Arabidopsis thaliana: one gene and its partner. The protein of the gene in region 1 interacts with the protein of each later gene in a biochemical or structural test. Each region holds a gene or a part of one and is shown on either strand. Other genes may lie near its edges.

Region 1 (8,990 bases):
GATGTTGAATTCGCTGCCATCAATGTGCACCAGCACATAGAGAGTGAGATACTTGTTGCTGAAAGTGGATCAGAAGAAAGTTTTGGAGAAATTGGTGATCTTCTTCATCTTGAAGTAGGGTCTTATAATGATTTAGCCAAAGGTGATGCTGAAAGTGGATCAGAAGAAGGTTTTGGAGAAATTGCAGCAGAAACTAGTGATGATCTTCATCTTAAAGTAAGGTCTTCTAATAAGGCGTATAATGATTCCACCAAGTTGATGATAGTATTGTCCTCCACGGTGCTGGTTCTACTCGCAGTGGCTTCTTTCGTATTCGCTAAGAAGACAAAACTCGTGGCTGCTACTAAACCAGCCCCTGAGAGTAACATGGAGCTAAACTTGAGTCATGTGCCAGAAGAGAATCTGGTGAAAGAGAAGCTCTTTTCACTGAATTTTGAGGAAGAAGTTGATGACAAAATGAGTAACAGTTTCCAAAAGAAGAGCTCATGCCACAAAGAACCTCAAAGCAAAGGAGGCAAGAAGAATAACAACAATAGCAGTAGCAGCAAGTTGAGGAGAGAATCAATGGCATCTTCAGCATCAGAATACTCCATTGGCTCTTTTTCTTACGGAAGTTTCACAACATACGAGAAGATACCCATCAAAAGTGTGAGTACCATCAATCAATGATCACGTAAAGTACACGTTTTGCATCGTTTTAGTACTAACCCATTTTATATATTCACAGGGTAGAGAAGAAGAGGAGATGATTACACCAGTGAGACGTTCAAGCCGGATTAAGAACAACAAACCTTCTGGTTCTGGTCTATGATAAAGAGATAGACATTTCATTTCAATCATTGCATCACTATGCAATCTTTTTAGTTTCCTAAGAATTAGAATTAGCTTTATGACTCCTTAAAATCTTCTGATTTGTACCAAACTAGTTGTGATTCAATCCAAAGTTTGTTTCTTTGTGTCAGTCTCAGTCGTTTAAAGTAAAAGAAGAAACAAAAGCATGAGACTTTTTTTTTTTTTTTGGTAACAAAGCATGAGACTAAACATCACAAGACTCAATTTCTCCAGCTTCCTCCTTCAGATCGCCCCTGACCACCGTAACCTCCGTCTCCATAACCACCTTCACGACGATCACCTCCATAACCACCACCGTATCCACCTCCACCGCCACGGTTGTAACCACCTTGATCACGTCTACCTCTGTAACCACCACTTCCGTAACCACCAACCATACCACCGCGAGTACCACTACCACGAGCCTGAGCCTAGTTAACAGTAATGTTACGACCATCAAGTTCTTGACCATTCATTCTATCGATCGCAGTCCTCATGGAATCCTCATCTTTAAAAGTCACAAATCTAAACCCCTTAGACCTCCCGGTCTCACGATCAATGATGATCTGATCCAATCCATAAACCATATAAAGTCGAGATTTTTATGATACAAAGAGAGAAACAGAGCAACACAAAAACAGAGTCACACTTTAACGGACCTTGGAGTCGAAAACTTCACCAAACTCGTTGAAACACCTCTCTATAGACTGTTCATCGGTGGCCCAAGCTAAACCTCCGACGAAGCATCGATACTCGTTGTCTGCATAAGCCACGTCCAAAGATTTGAGGAAGATGATGACGACGACGGTTCTATATAGAAGCGCGAAACCATGGTTACGTTGATTCGGTGCTTAACATGCATTCAGAAATATGATTAGAACTGTGACCAAAACACTCTCTTGGACGCATGATTTGTGCCACGTCACCAGAATCGAAATAATCTTGCTCTGATCCGATGGTTTAGATTTGACGGCTTATTTTGTATGTGTGGGGTCTCACGAAGAGGACATGTGTTAGTTATATGATCTTGAACTGGAAAACACAGATACAAACAACATTTGTACTTTCGGACACGTTGGATTTATTTAATAGCGATGCGGGATATGTAACAAAAATTAGGTAGTGATGTAAATTTGTTATCCGACGAAAGATGAATAGTTCATTGCTTTTTCTTCCCGAACAAATATCCTCAATTATGACTTAACTAGCTCGAGGTTAGAGAAAACTTTTCTATGGAAATAACAGTAATTGGAACGATTAATAAAATCATATACGCAACTGTAGCATATGAAAATTAATAAACAGTTTAAGAAAATTTCACATCACTTGTTCATATATTTTGAGAAAACTTTTGAGAAATTTTTAGCTCAAGAAAAATTCATCTCTATTAATGTCTACTTAATCACTATTTTCTAAATAAACCATAGTGAGACTTTGAACTAACATAATCATTCATTTTTCAAGTAAAATTAAATAAAAAAACTAAATATTTTCATTCGATTGGCATTGTTTAAATTGAACATTCTACAATAGAGAATTTGTTTCTATCAATTTTAAACTAAACATATATCAAATTTTTGGATCATATCAAAAAAGCTAGAAAATTCAATATCATTGTTTTTTAAAAAGAATACTTCAACATCTTTACAAAATCCTATAACCGATAAATATTTCATCCAATATTTTGAAAGAAAGTTGCCAACATTTCACATGTTTTTCTAGTTGATAATTTTCTATTGTACTGTATATGATTATATGTTGTAATAAATTGTTTAAAATGCAAATGATTACAGCGGTTGAGACGGACAAATACTATGCAGATTAAACCGCTTTTAATTTACCAATCATAAATTAGAATCTATAATAATATATACTAAGAAAACTGCCGTAAACCAATCATAAACCATTTTTACATACAAATAAGATTGATCCACAACGATTTATTATCTACTTGAAAATAAAACACACTTATATTATCGATGAATTTATCTATTCTGATTGCCGTTACCATTCGAACCAAAAAATTCAGAGTATTTAGAAAATTTTAGCAAGAAAAGAAAAAGATTCCTTTATTCGGCCAAGAATGGTGAATATAGGACGTGAGATATATTACTCCTTATATATCCGAACATTAAATTTACAACAATAATAAAACAGGAAAGAAGGAAAGAAAAAATCCCAAATAGTAATTGCGGCAACAGCTTAGCTGGCTTATGGCGGGATTACCGGGAAAGTCAAACCAAACATTAAAACGACGTCACTTTACCCCACACTAGGTTTTAATTTAATCTAATTTCAAAATTATTAATTAATCAGATTTGTAATTAATAATAAATTAATTTCGAAGTTTCTTGCAAAGACGAGAGAGAGAGGAGTGTCACAGTCTACAGTTGTTATCTCAACAATCTCGATCTTCTTCTTCTTCTTCTTTCTTTCTCTCTCTAAAGATTTTTTTCACTCAACAAATCACTTTTTGTTTTGTCTGATTTTAAGGATTAGTGAAAAATTTCTACTTTTTCTTCTCATAAATTAGGATTTAGAGAGAGAGAGAGAAAGAGAAAGAGAGGTGCTTTAATGTCTGTGAAGGTAGGAGCTGTAATTGGATCCAGTAACAGAGCAAACCCAGTTCGATATCTGTCTCTTTCTTCCTCTCTAAAGATCGAAAGACGTTATTTTTATTAGGGTTGTTGAATTGGGTATTTTGCTTAAATCCTGAAAAAAATAGTCTCTGTCTCTCTCTGGGTTTGGGTGATGAGTGTTGATGGGTCATTGGATTGAGTTTGATAAGCAATGGTTGATCAAAGAAGAAGCGCATTGGGTTTTGTCTTGTTGTTGTTGTGTTTGGTACTGTTCTTCGACTGTGTTGTTGTTGGTCAAACACAGAGTCGATTCAGTGAGAAACTCATTTTGCTTAATCTCAGGTCTTCTTTAGGGTTAAGAGGAACAGATTGGCCAATTAAAGGTGACCCTTGTGTTGATTGGAGAGGTATACAATGTGAGAATGGTAGTATCATTGGGATCAATATCTCTGGGTTTAGGAGAACAAGAATTGGTAAGCTAAACCCACAATTCTCTGTTGATCCTCTTCGTAATCTAACTCGTTTGTCGTATTTTAACGCGTCCGGGTTAGCGTTACCGGGGACTATACCTGAGTGGTTTGGTGTTAGTTTGTTGGCATTGGAAGTATTGGATCTTAGTTCGTGTTCTGTTAACGGTGTTGTTCCTTTTACTCTTGGTAATCTCACTAGTTTAAGAACTTTGAATCTGTCTCAGAACAGTCTTACTAGTTTAGTTCCTAGCAGTTTAGGACAGTTGTTGAATCTATCACAGCTTGATCTCTCTAGGAACTCATTCACTGGTGTTCTTCCTCAATCTTTTAGCTCTCTGAAGAATCTGTTGACTCTTGATGTTTCTTCCAATTACCTTACTGGACCTATCCCTCCTGGTTTAGGAGCGTTATCAAAGCTTATCCATCTGAACTTTTCAAGCAATAGTTTCTCGTCTCCGATTCCTTCAGAGCTTGGTGATCTTGTCAATCTGGTTGACTTTGATCTCAGCATCAATTCATTGTCTGGTTCAGTTCCTCAGGAGCTAAGAAAGTTAAGTAAGTTGCAGCTAATGGCGATTGGCGATAACCTTTTGAGTGGTACTTTACCAGTAGATTTGTTTAGTGCTGAGAGCCAACTGCAAACTTTAGTTTTGAGGGAAAATGGTTTCTCTGGTAGTCTACCTGATGTGTGCTGGTCGTTGCCAAAATTGCGGATTCTTGACATTGCTAAGAACAACTTCACAGGACTGCTGCCATATTCTAGTTATGATTCAGACCAGATAGCTGAAATGGTTGATATCTCTTCGAACACATTCTATGGAGAGCTCACACCGATTCTTAGACGGTTCAGGATAATGGACCTCTCTGGTAATTATTTCGAAGGTAAGCTTCCTGATTATGTGACCGGGGAAAATGTGTCTGTTACAAGCAATTGCCTTCGAAATGAGAGGAGACAGAAGCCGTCAGCAATATGTGCAGCATTCTATAAGTCTAGAGGATTAGATTTTGATGATTTCGGACGTCCTAATTTGACACAACCGACATCGAAAAATGCTTCTTCAGGGATAAGCCGCAGAACAGTAATTATATTGGCAGCAGTGGGTGGTGGAGTTGCTTTTATTCTTCTTTTTGTTATCTTGCCAATTATTCTGGTTCTATGCATGCGCCATAGACGCAGAGCGGCACAAAGAGGAAATAACGACAGGCCAAAACCTGCCGGGGAAGCTTCACAACAACCACCTAAAGGAGCACAAACCTTTGATTTGTCACGTCTTGGAAATGCATTTTCTTATGAGCAGCTTCTTCAGGCAACAGAGGAATTCAATGATGCTAATCTGATAAAACGTGGTCATTCGGGGAATCTGTTTCGTGGTTTCTTGGAAAATGGTATACCCGTTGTTATAAAAAAGATCGATGTGCGGGAAGGTAAAAGTGAAGGCTATATATCAGAACTGGAGTTGTTTAGTAAGGCTGGACACCAGAGGCTGGTTCCCTTTTTGGGACACTGCTTGGAGAATGAGAGCCAAAAGTTCTTGGTATACAAGTTTATGAGACACGGTGATTTGGCTAGCTCTTTGTTCAGGAAATCCGAAAACGAAGGTGATGGATTGAAGTCTTTGGATTGGATAACAAGGTTGAAAATTGCTCTTGGTGCAGCTGAGGGACTCTCTTATTTGCATCATGAGTGTTCACCGCCTCTAGTTCATAGGTACTACTCTCCTGCTCAGCTTCTCGTAATATAATCTTGATATTTTTTAAAGCATTGACATAGCAAGACTATTGGAAGTTGTTTTGTTGATTCTGTTTTTAGTATCATATAACCTTTCATGTTCATAATTAGTAAGATCTATTCAAGAATTGTTAGTGTATAGTTTCATAGATGGAGAAGCCCAATGACATCACCTGCTCCTAAATTACTTCTTGTTGATCTATGCTCTATTGCCTGATAAGAAGAAAAGCGAGAGAACTCATGTGTGTGTTTGTGTTCAATGTTAAATAGGGATGTACAAGCAAGTAGCATACTTCTTGATGATAAATTTGAGGTACGTCTTGGAAGCCTAAGCGAGGCATATGCTCAAGGTGATGCTTATCAAAGCAGAATTTCTCGTTTACTTCGATTACCGCAGTAAGTGCTTATTACATTAACAAACTCTCTGGTCCTTTTCTGTTTTACTTTGATTCCCTAACATGACTCTGTATGTTGTCTTGGCACCTACTAATGCTTCGCTGTCTCTTCTTTTCCTATTCTTGCAGATCGAGTGAACCATCTTCTTCAGGTATACACTTAGGAGAATAAAAATTTCATCAGGATATACCATCTCCGATTAACCGATAGACATCTGATTGGTTTATTCTTTTCAGGTGTAACAAATGCAATATGTTCGTATGATGTCTACTGCTTTGGCAAAGTGTTACTTGAGCTAGTAACGGGGAAGCTCGGGATTAGCTCGCCAGACAACGCACTTGCAAAAGAGTACATGGAAGAAGCTTTGCCATACATCAGCACAAACGAGAAAGAACTAGTAACCAAGATCTTAGACCCGTCATTAATGGTGGACGAAGACCTTCTAGAAGAAGTATGGGCAATGGCTATCATTGCAAAGTCATGCCTAAACCCAAAACCAACAAGAAGACCATTAATGAGACACATTGTGAACGCACTTGAGAACCCACTGAAAGTAGTAAGAGAAGATACCAACTCGGGTTCAGGCTCTTCCCGGTTAAGAACAAACTCGTCGAGAGGGTCTTGGAACGCTGCTATATTTGGGAGCTGGAGGCAGAGTGCGTCGGATGTAACAGCTGTTCAAGCGGGAGCAACAACAAGCGGTGGTGGTGGTGGTGGTGGTGGTAATGGTTTGAGAAACTCGGGGTCGCAAGGAAGTAGCGGAAGGAACAATAACAACAACGGGAATTCATCGTCGTCGAGAAGACGGCAATCTAGTGAGATTGTACCGGAACCTGCTGCTTATGGAGTAGTAGAGGATAATTTATGATTCGTTTCATCGATTCTTTTGTGTCGATAATAACAGAGGCAAAGAGAGTCCTCAAAGGTAGCATAATGTTAGATGGGAGGAGGATTTGTTTTTTCTTTCTTTTGTTTTGTTTTTGGGTTTAGGATTGGTGGGAGTTAGAAATGTTAGTTCACTCTTTGTTTTTGTTTTTTGGTTCAAACGTGGATTTTGTAAATTGTAAAATTCTTGGAGATTGGGTTTTGTTTTCGGTTTCTTTCTTATTGAAAGACCAGAAAACAAAACAAAACAAAAAAGTTGGGTTACATTTGTTTCAGTTCCACCATTACTTATTATTCTTGTATCTGATTTCGTACGTGTGAATTTTGTTGACTATTTCATTTGCACGTGGCAAGCTTTTGATATGTATTTGGACAAAAAGTGAAAGGAAAGATACTTCTTCCTTTTGTTGGATCTGATTTCGTACGTGTGAATATTGTTGACTAGTTCATTCGCACGTGGGAAGCTTTTGATTCATATTGGGACAAAAAGTAAAAATAAAGGTTCTACCGAGAATTGAACTCGGGTTACTGGATTCAGAGTCCAATGTCCTAACCGCTAGACCATAGAACCATTATGTTTAGAGACGTAAACTTATAATATATATACGTATGAACCAAAATGTTGAAGTTGTAGGATTTTTGGTCTGAGTTACCTGTAATTATATTTAATTATTTCATACACTGAACTTAATTTGAAAATTACAACATTACAAACAAAAATTGAAATTCTAATGAGTTACTTTTGCCAAATCTATCATGGTTAGAAACTTAGAATGATTAAATAGCTAAACTATATCCCAATATATAAGATGTTCTTATGTATTTTATTTTTGTCCATTATATTAAAACTTAAAATAAATTTTCATATTTTCTAATCATTTCTGTTATATGCAATATTTGCCACGATTGGTTGAATTGTTTTAAATAAATAAATAATATTTTGTAAAGAACATAAGTTTCTTAATATATGTGATTTAACTAAAACATCTTATAAGAAATTGGACAGCGGAATATTATTTTCTTGGGTTATTTTTGCCAATTCTCATTGATTTAATAAGTTGGTTGTTAATTGGCTATTTGACAGATTATTCCATACCAAACAAAATTTGAAAGAAATCTCCAAAAATATGATTAATACTGTAAACAATGGGGAAACCCATGCAAAGAAGTCAGCAAGTGGGTTGTAGTAAAATCAGCACATGTGATTATGAGCTTTGGGATTCTGCATAAACTTCTGTTCACTAACCAATTAATTATACTATATTACTCCCAACCCTTACACTAACTTATTACTCTTTTACATTTCAAATCTCACTTCCTCCACATTCCTCTGTCTTCATGGCTCTCTCCATCCTCTTCCTTCTCCTCTTCATTCTCTTCTCTATTTCGCCGTCAAATGCACAGTCGTTTATCGGAGTAAACTACGGCTTACTATCCGACAACCTCCCGCCACCTTCTCAAACGGCCAAACTCCTCCAATCTACCTCCATCCAGAAAGTGAGGCTATACAATGCGGATTCCTCCATCATCACATCCTTGGTTGGAACCGGTATTGGTATTGTTATCGGAGTAGCAAATGGCGATCTCCCGTCTATCGCCTCGGATCTCAACATTGCCTCTCAGTGGATAAATTCCAACGTACTTCCTTTCTATCCTGCCTCCAACATCATTCTCATCAATGTCGGCAACGAGGTGAATCTTTTTCTTTATCAAATTATTCACACAAGTTTTTCTAAAATTAATTTTCTTGATATTATTTTTGTAAACTCTTTTCCTCCAGATTAGGCAACTAATCGCGGAAAATGTTATTTAAATTAAATGTATGCTTGCTTGACAAAATAAATCTCTAAACCTCTCATCGTTGATATGTAGGTGTTGTTGTCAAATGATCTGAATCTTGTAAACCAACTTCTCCCGGCTATGCAAAATGTTCAAAAGGCTCTCGAGGCGGTTTCACTAGGTGGAAAAATCAAGGTGTCTACTGTCCATGCAATGACAGTACTAGGCAACTCCGAACCGCCATCAGCTGGTTCGTTTGCTCCTAGTTATCAGGCCGGTTTAAAGGGCATTCTACAGTTTCTTAGCGATACCGGGTCGCCT
Region 2 (7,310 bases), 6.5 Mb from region 1:
GTGGTTGCTTTTATTGATTTAGTCTTCATTTGTATGTGACTCATGATGTGGAAGGTTTTGGTCCTTTTGGATAAGGTTGCAGAAACAAATTTATCTGTGAATTCTAAGCTTGAGTGTTCACATATTGTCTTGGTGTTGCTTCAGAATGCGTCTGTGATTGGTAACTCGGAGGAAGAAGTGGAAGAAGAGGATGATGATGGGGACTGGGAAGCAGAGTTTCTCGGGGAGATTGATCCGTTGGATATTCAACCTCCGAAGAAGAGGAAAAAGCAGAAGAATTCGAAAGCGCTTGAGGACACTGAAGGGATGGATTGGTGTGTAAGGGCAAGGAAAATTGCACTTAAATCGATTGAGGCAAGAGGGTTATCTTCTAGAATGGCGGAGGTGATGCCATTGAAGAAGAAGAAAAAGAAAAAGAGCAAGAAAGTCATTGTAAAGAAAGACAAGGTCAAAAGTAAAAGTATTCCAGAAGATGATTTTGATACCGAGGACGAAGATTTGGATTTTGAAGATGGATTTGTGGAGGATAAGATGGGGGATCTACGGAAGAGAGTTAGCTCATTAGCTGGTGGAATGTTTGAGGAAAAGAAGGAGAAGATGAAGGAGCAATTAGCTCAGAGGCTATCCCAGTTTTCAGGACCTTCTGATCGTATGAAGGAAATCAACCTGAACAAAGCTATAATAGAAGCACAGACTGCTGAAGAGGTATTGGAAGTAACTGCTGAGACAATCATGGCTGTTGCCAAAGGTTTAAGTCCATCACCTTTGTCTCCTTTAAATATTGCTACTGCACTTCACCGAATTGCCAAGAATATGGAGAAAGTTTCAATGATGAGAACTCGTAGGCTTGCATTTGCTCGGCAAAGAGAGATGTCAATGCTTGTTGCTCTTGCAATGACATGTCTACCAGAATGTTCAGCTCAAGGCATCTCAAATATTTCTTGGGCATTATCCAAAATTGGAGGTGAATTGCTATATTTGACAGAGATGGATAGGGTTGCAGAAGTTGCCACATCAAAGGTGGGTGAGTTCAATTCTCAGAATGTTGCTAATATTGCTGGGGCGTTTGCTTCCATGCGGCATTCTGCTCCAGAACTCTTTGCTGAGTTGTCAAAGAGGGCATCTACTATTATCAATACCTTTAAGGGTCAAGAGATTGCTCAACTATTGTGGTCATTTGCCTCACTTTATGAGCCAGCTGATCCTTTGCTTGAATCTTTGGATAGTGCATTCAAAAGCAGTGACCAGTTCAAGTGTTACTTGACGAAAGAAATAACAAACTCTGATGAAGTAGTGGATGCTGAAGTAAGCGATGATGTTTCAAGATCTCCAGCACTTAGCTTTAACAGGGACCAGCTTGGAAACATAGCATGGTCTTATGCTGTTCTTGGGCAAGTGGAGCGACCTTTCTTTGCCAATATATGGAATACTTTAACCACCTTGGAGGAGCAAAGGCTTTCAGAACAGTATAGGGAAGATGTCATGTTTGCTTCTCAGGTGTATCTTGTGAATCAGTGCTTGAAGCTTGAGTGCCCCCACCTTCAGTTGTCACTTTGTCAAGAACTCGAAGAAAAAATAAGCCGCGCAGGAAAAACCAAAAGATTCAATCAGAAAATAACCTCATCGTTTCAGAAAGAAGTTGGACGCCTTCTTATAAGTACAGGGCTTGATTGGGCTAAAGAACATGATGTGGATGGCTACACCGTGGATGTTGCTCTGGTCGAGAAGAAAGTTGCTTTAGAAATCGACGGGCCAACTCATTTTTCAAGAAACTCTGGTAAGTGACATCACTCTGTTTCTTAATATATATTGGTGTCTGGTGGAGCCAACCCAAACTTAATGATCATTTCGACTCTTGTGTTCTACAGGACTACCATTAGGGCATACAATGCTGAAGCGGCGATATGTTGCTGCTGCTGGATGGAAAGTGGTATCTCTGTCTCTTCAAGAGGTGGGTCTATAACGTTGAAAAATGGAAACTGATATAAAATTGAGTTGCTAGGATAAGAAATTGTCTCCATTTTTAGAATACTTGTTCTGTTCAATAGTAAAAAGATCTCACATGCTCTTGCATAATTGATATGTTTTCCCATCTCAATCAGGAGTACATACTGAACATGTGTTGACTTTGTTTTTATTATTTTTAGTGGGAAGAACATGAAGGCAGTCATGAACAGCTAGAATATTTGAGGGAGATTCTCACCGGCTGCATATAGAGAAGACAAGTAACCAAACATGTAATGTGTTGTCATTTTAAGGTTGTTAATCAAGTGTTCTTTTCCGTTATGTATATAGCTAAGATTCTTATAGTAGATTGATGATTTATGTTTAGAGCAATAATCATAATTGAAATCCATTTAAATTTTACAGTCGCCATTACAAATTTCTGCCAAGATTGTGTTCATAGTTATTTCGTATGCAACAGGAATCTAGGAAATATAGATAGAAGCAAACAATACATATTGAAACACTAGTGCTTGATCTGGGACAACATGGTCCTGACATCTTTACTGTTCGGCCTCTGTTTTGGATCATCCAAAGTACAGTAACAGGCGATCTTCAGAACCAGAAGCATCTGTTCATCGAATCCTTGATCCATCAACTTCGGATCAATCGCAAGGCTAGGATTTTCCGATGTTATTATGTTCCTCATCCACTTTATCAGACTCATCTCGTCAGTATGCTGAAAAAACTCATCTGAAGGAAGCTTCCCAATCACCAGAATCCCAAGAATCACTCCAAAACTATAGATATCACATTTATCTGTGAACTTGTGGGTTTGATAAAACTCTGGTGCTATGTATCCCACAGTACCTGCAACATGCGAGGTTGTAATATGTGTGACTGCATCTGGCATTGCCTTTGCCAGTCCGAAATCTGAAATTCTGGCTTCCATGTCATCATCAAGAAGAACATTGGCTGGCTTTAAGTCTCTGTGAATGATTCGTGGGTTATGATCCATGTGAAGGTACTCAAGCCCTGCAGCTATACCTAAAGCAATCTTGTGCCTCGCTGGCCACATTAGTTCTTGATTTCCAGCTTGTACGTCAGTCAATATATCTTGCAAACTCCCCTTTTCCATGTACTCGTAAACGAGGTAGTGGCACTCGGGTCTTGACACGTGTGCTAACAATGGGAGAAGATTCCGGTGCCGGATATGGCCGACTGTGTTGATCTCGGATCTAATTTGCCTCATTTTCTTGTTCAGAAACTTGGAATCTTCATCTGTTAGTTCATCGGCGTCTTTAGGCGGTTGGATCACTTTCTTCACAGCTATGATCTTCCCATTGCTTCCTGGTAGTTCAGCTTTGAAAACTTCTCCACAACCTCCTCTTCCTATGATCTCCAGAGAAGCTAACGCTTCTTCATTCTCCAAGAAAGCTAAATCTTCAGCTTTCTTGATCAATGGGCTGAATATGGAAGGACCTGGTGGTTTTTCTGATCCTCTTATTGCTTGAATAATCAATTTGAACAACACCGAGAAGACAAACCCAGAGATTGTTCCTCCTATGGCTCCAACGACAAACCCTAAGATCCATGCCGCTACTTTCTTCTTCTTGCTCTTCTTCTTCTTCTTCTTCAACTTCCCTGGTTTTGGAGCTCCCTTTGGAGCTTTTGATGTAGTGCTGTTGTTGGGTTTGTTCGTGGGACTTGAAGTTGGAGTTTCAGCAAGAATGTGTCTTGTTTGATGTGGAGATGTCTGAAGCTTGATACTGCTCATAACCGGAGCCGGACCTTCCAAATACCGGTTTCCGGAGAAATCAAAGAACCGGAGATTGTGGAACGACACAATTTGTTCCGGGATTTTGCCTGAGAAGAGATTGTTTGCAACAGAGAGATTCTCCAGATTGCGTAGATTCTTCAAGAAATTCAAGTTCCCGGATAACTTGTTCGAAGAGAGATCAAGGATTCGAAGACGGCTCAAACTAGAAAAGTTTCCCGGAATCTGACCGGAAAATCTATTTTTCCGAAGATCAAGAACTTCAAGTTGCTTACAGCTTAAGATATCCACCGGAACAGCGTTGACCAACTGGTTATTAGACAAAGTAAGTTCCTTGAGCTCCGACAACATTCCGATGACCGGAGAGATAGTCCCCGTCAAGCTCCTGGATCGGTAGACGAGCCTCGTGACACGGAGAACGTATTCTCCGGTGGTGGCAGAGTGCCGTCTCTCGCAGAAAACTCCTCGGCGACCGCAAGGGTTGACATCACTGGCCGAAGAACGTTGACTGTTGACTCCGAGCTCTGTTTCGATGACCTGAAGAGCTTTGAGATCTGAGGAATCGATATCGAGCCACTCAACAGAGGAGACGAATGAAGAGAGAAGAAGAAAGGAGAGAACGGCGAGGATGAGAGGCCGGAGAAAGAGATTGGCGCTTCCCGTGGGAACAGCCATTTTAATTAGAGAAAGTTTCTTCTTGTGGATGTTGTCGGAGTCTACACTCTGTCTATTTATGGTCAGCAACTGGTACTAATCTATTGAGAAATCTTTACGTGTTTCGTGGTTTTTTTTTTCTTCTAAAACTTTATTTTTGAAGTGACAAAATATATTTGACCCAAAAAAAATAAAGTTACAAAATATATTCACAAGTTAATTTCTTAATATTGTTATACACTTATACATATAATTGGTAAACTTAAATTAACAGTTTGAAAAATTTATGGTTTGTTCAAGGGATCCATCCAAGCCCCGGTTTCATATCGAAAAAATGGGGTTTTCTATTGCTAGTATTTTATTTGATTAGTTTGATATTAATGATAGATTACTGAATTCTTACATAAGATCTCCTAACAAAATTGTATTTTATATTATGATATTTAGTTATCAATGGTTTTGGAGAAACATTGATTCAGCGTATACTTTTTGAATTATTTGTATATTCTTAATAAGAGTTCTGTTTTTAATTAAAGTCTAAAGAAGAAAAAACCATTATAAAAACTGATAATCCTGACCTGTGAAATGGGCTAAATTGTACATTTTTTTTTTGATTTAAATTCTTCCAGGAAGTTTTATGGGAAAATAATAAAGTAGAAAATGTGAATATAGAAAGTTGCAAAACTGTATTATTGATATAGCGAATTTTGTTATTGACTTGACTATGTAAGCGTTGATAAGTCAAAGTCTACGCTGTGGGTTCCATAGTGAGCCACCGTTTCCTACACGTTAGAAAAAAATAAATGTTATGTTACACACACCTTCTATTTTCCAGTCACTTTCTTTTAGCGTTTTCCGTCAATACGTTCGTTGTCTGTATCAAGATTCCAAACTGGTGAGTGTGAAATAACTCGAAACTGGCTTTTAACTTAAAATGAGTTAACCAGATAGCTAACGAGGATGTTATTGCCACTAAACCAATACATTACCGATATGGTTCAAGTTCCAACTTCCCGGTTCTACAAAACCGGTTTGCCTTTCGCCTTCGCACTCTTGACTTTTTTAGATTTTTTACTCCGGGACTTGAGTATCTTCTAGCGGCAGCAGAATCTTGTCGCAGAAGCGATTCGTAAACCTGTTTCAAAAGCAATTGAGAACAGCTGTGAGATTAGAAAAATCGAAAAATGGAGAATCGCGAAGATCTTAACTCAATTCTTCCGTACCTTCCACTTGTAATTCGTTCGTCGTCGCTGTATTGGCCGCCGCGTGTGGTGGAGGCGTTAAAGGCAATGTCTGAAGGACCATCTCACAGCCAAGTTGACTCAGGAGAGGTTCTACGGCAAGCTATTTTCGATATGAGACGATCCTTATCTTTCTCTACTCTCGAGCCATCTGCTTCTAATGGCTACGCATTTCTCTTTGACGAAGTAATTATCTCTTTTTAACTTTATGGTGATTGCTTTTGGATTTGAGTGTATCTTCAAATCGAATTGAGTAGTGGAACTAAGTTTTTGGTACTCGCAGTTGATTGATGAGAAAGAATCAAAGAGATGGTTCGATGAGATTATCCCAGCATTGGCGAGCTTACTTCTACAGTTTCCATCTCTGTTAGAAGTGCATTTCCAAAATGCTGATAATATTGTTAGTGGAATCAAAACCGGTCTTCGTTTGTTAAATTCCCAACAAGCTGGCATTGTTTTCCTCAGCCAGGTATTGATACAAAGTGCTATCTCCTACATTTGAGCTAAAGGTGTTTTTTTGGTTCTATTCCTGACTCTTGAGTAGTGATTTATGGGGAGGAAATTACGTCGAATATACATGTGTTCTTACTGGATGATTACCTTGTGTGTTGAAGATATAGTCTCTATGGATTCTTGCTTTTCTTACTGGATAATGACCTTGTGTTGAATATACATGTGTTCATACTGGATAATGACCTTGTGTTGTTGAAGATATAGTCTCTATGGATTCTTGCTTTTCTTACCTGTCCGTTCGAACTTCAATATTGCAGGAGTTGATTGGAGCTCTTCTTGCATGCTCTTTCTTTTGTTTGTTTCCGGATGATAATAGAGGTGCAAAACACCTTCCAGTCATCAACTTTGATCATTTGTTTGCGTATGTTACCTCTCTGCTTTCTCTTCTAAACCTTTCATAGTGATTAAGCCTACATTAGTCTGGTCTGGAAGAAATGCCTAATGTTAAAATGTCAGTCATTTGGCTTAAGTCATGAATGATCAAGCACGTATGTGAAAGAAAGGGAACCTTTAATATGTAATTTATTGACATTCACACTCGAGAGTGAGAAAGCAAATCCGCTAGAGAGCGCATATGGGCCTCAGTCTCCATTGGGAGTTCACTAGTTAGACTTGGATTAGCTTGTTGTGAGAAAAACCACATATTTCTATGATTCATTGGCTATCATGTGCATGTGAAGATTTTAATTCTGAAAATTCTTGTCTACCGTGCATTGAGTAAGTTTCATTTGGATTCTTGGACTTCGTATGCCCACAGTCTGATATCCGAGTTTTACTTGCTTTTCAGAAGCCTTTATATAAGTTATAGTCAAAGTCAAGAAAGCAAGATAAGATGTATTATGCATTACTTTGAAAGGTTTTGCTCCTGCGTGCCTATTGGTATTGTTTCATTTGAACGCAAGATTACCGCTGCTCCTGATGCTGATTTCTGGAGCAAGTCTGACGTTTCTCTTTGTGCATTTAAGGTGACAAATATTGGCTTGTGGATTTCTGTACCTTGTAATATTAAATCTGCAAATGCTTGTACATTACTTTTTGCTGACAGCTTTATTGTTATAGGTTCACTCTTTTGGGTTAATTGAAGATCAACCTGACAATGCTCTCGAAGTGGACTTTGCAAACAAGTATCTCGGAGGTGGTTCCCTAAGTAGAGGGTGCGTGCAGGTTTGAGATCATATTAC

The links. Proteins that work in one complex are often made in the same cells at the same time.
Region 2: the proteins of AT2G16250 (region 1) and SOBIR1 form a complex in vitro, tested with the Arabidopsis thaliana proteins (one large-scale study listed by BioGRID).

What each region holds. Positions count from the first base shown.
Region 1 is NC_003071.7:7,037,565-7,046,554, reverse strand, and holds AT2G16250 (Leucine-rich repeat protein kinase family protein), read left to right. Parts: upstream 1-3,200; 5' UTR 3,201-3,621; coding exon 3,622-5,588; intron 5,589-5,879; coding exon 5,880-6,005; coding exon of another isoform or gene 6,006-6,009; exon of another isoform or gene 6,010-6,133; coding exon 6,134-6,156; exon of another isoform or gene 6,157-6,241; coding exon 6,242-6,873; downstream 6,874-8,990. Other genes in the region: AT2G16270 (uncharacterized protein), read left to right, coding at 1-648, 728-811; AT2G16230 (O-Glycosyl hydrolases family 17 protein), read left to right, coding at 8,229-8,582, 8,763-8,990.
Region 2 is NC_003071.7:13,552,006-13,559,315, reverse strand, and holds SOBIR1 (Leucine-rich repeat protein kinase family protein), read right to left. Parts: upstream 4,423-7,310; 5' UTR 4,397-4,422; coding exon 2,471-4,396; 3' UTR 2,339-2,470; downstream 1-2,338. Other genes in the region: RAP, read left to right, coding at 145-1,777, 1,869-1,951, 2,148-2,216; TEJ (Poly (ADP-ribose) glycohydrolase (PARG)), read left to right, coding at 5,560-5,802, 5,900-6,085, 6,387-6,490, 6,917-7,094, 7,189-7,293. UniProt on the Arabidopsis thaliana protein: Dual specificity kinase acting on both serine/threonine- and tyrosine-containing substrates. Acting as a counterplayer of BIR1, promotes the activation of plant defense and cell death.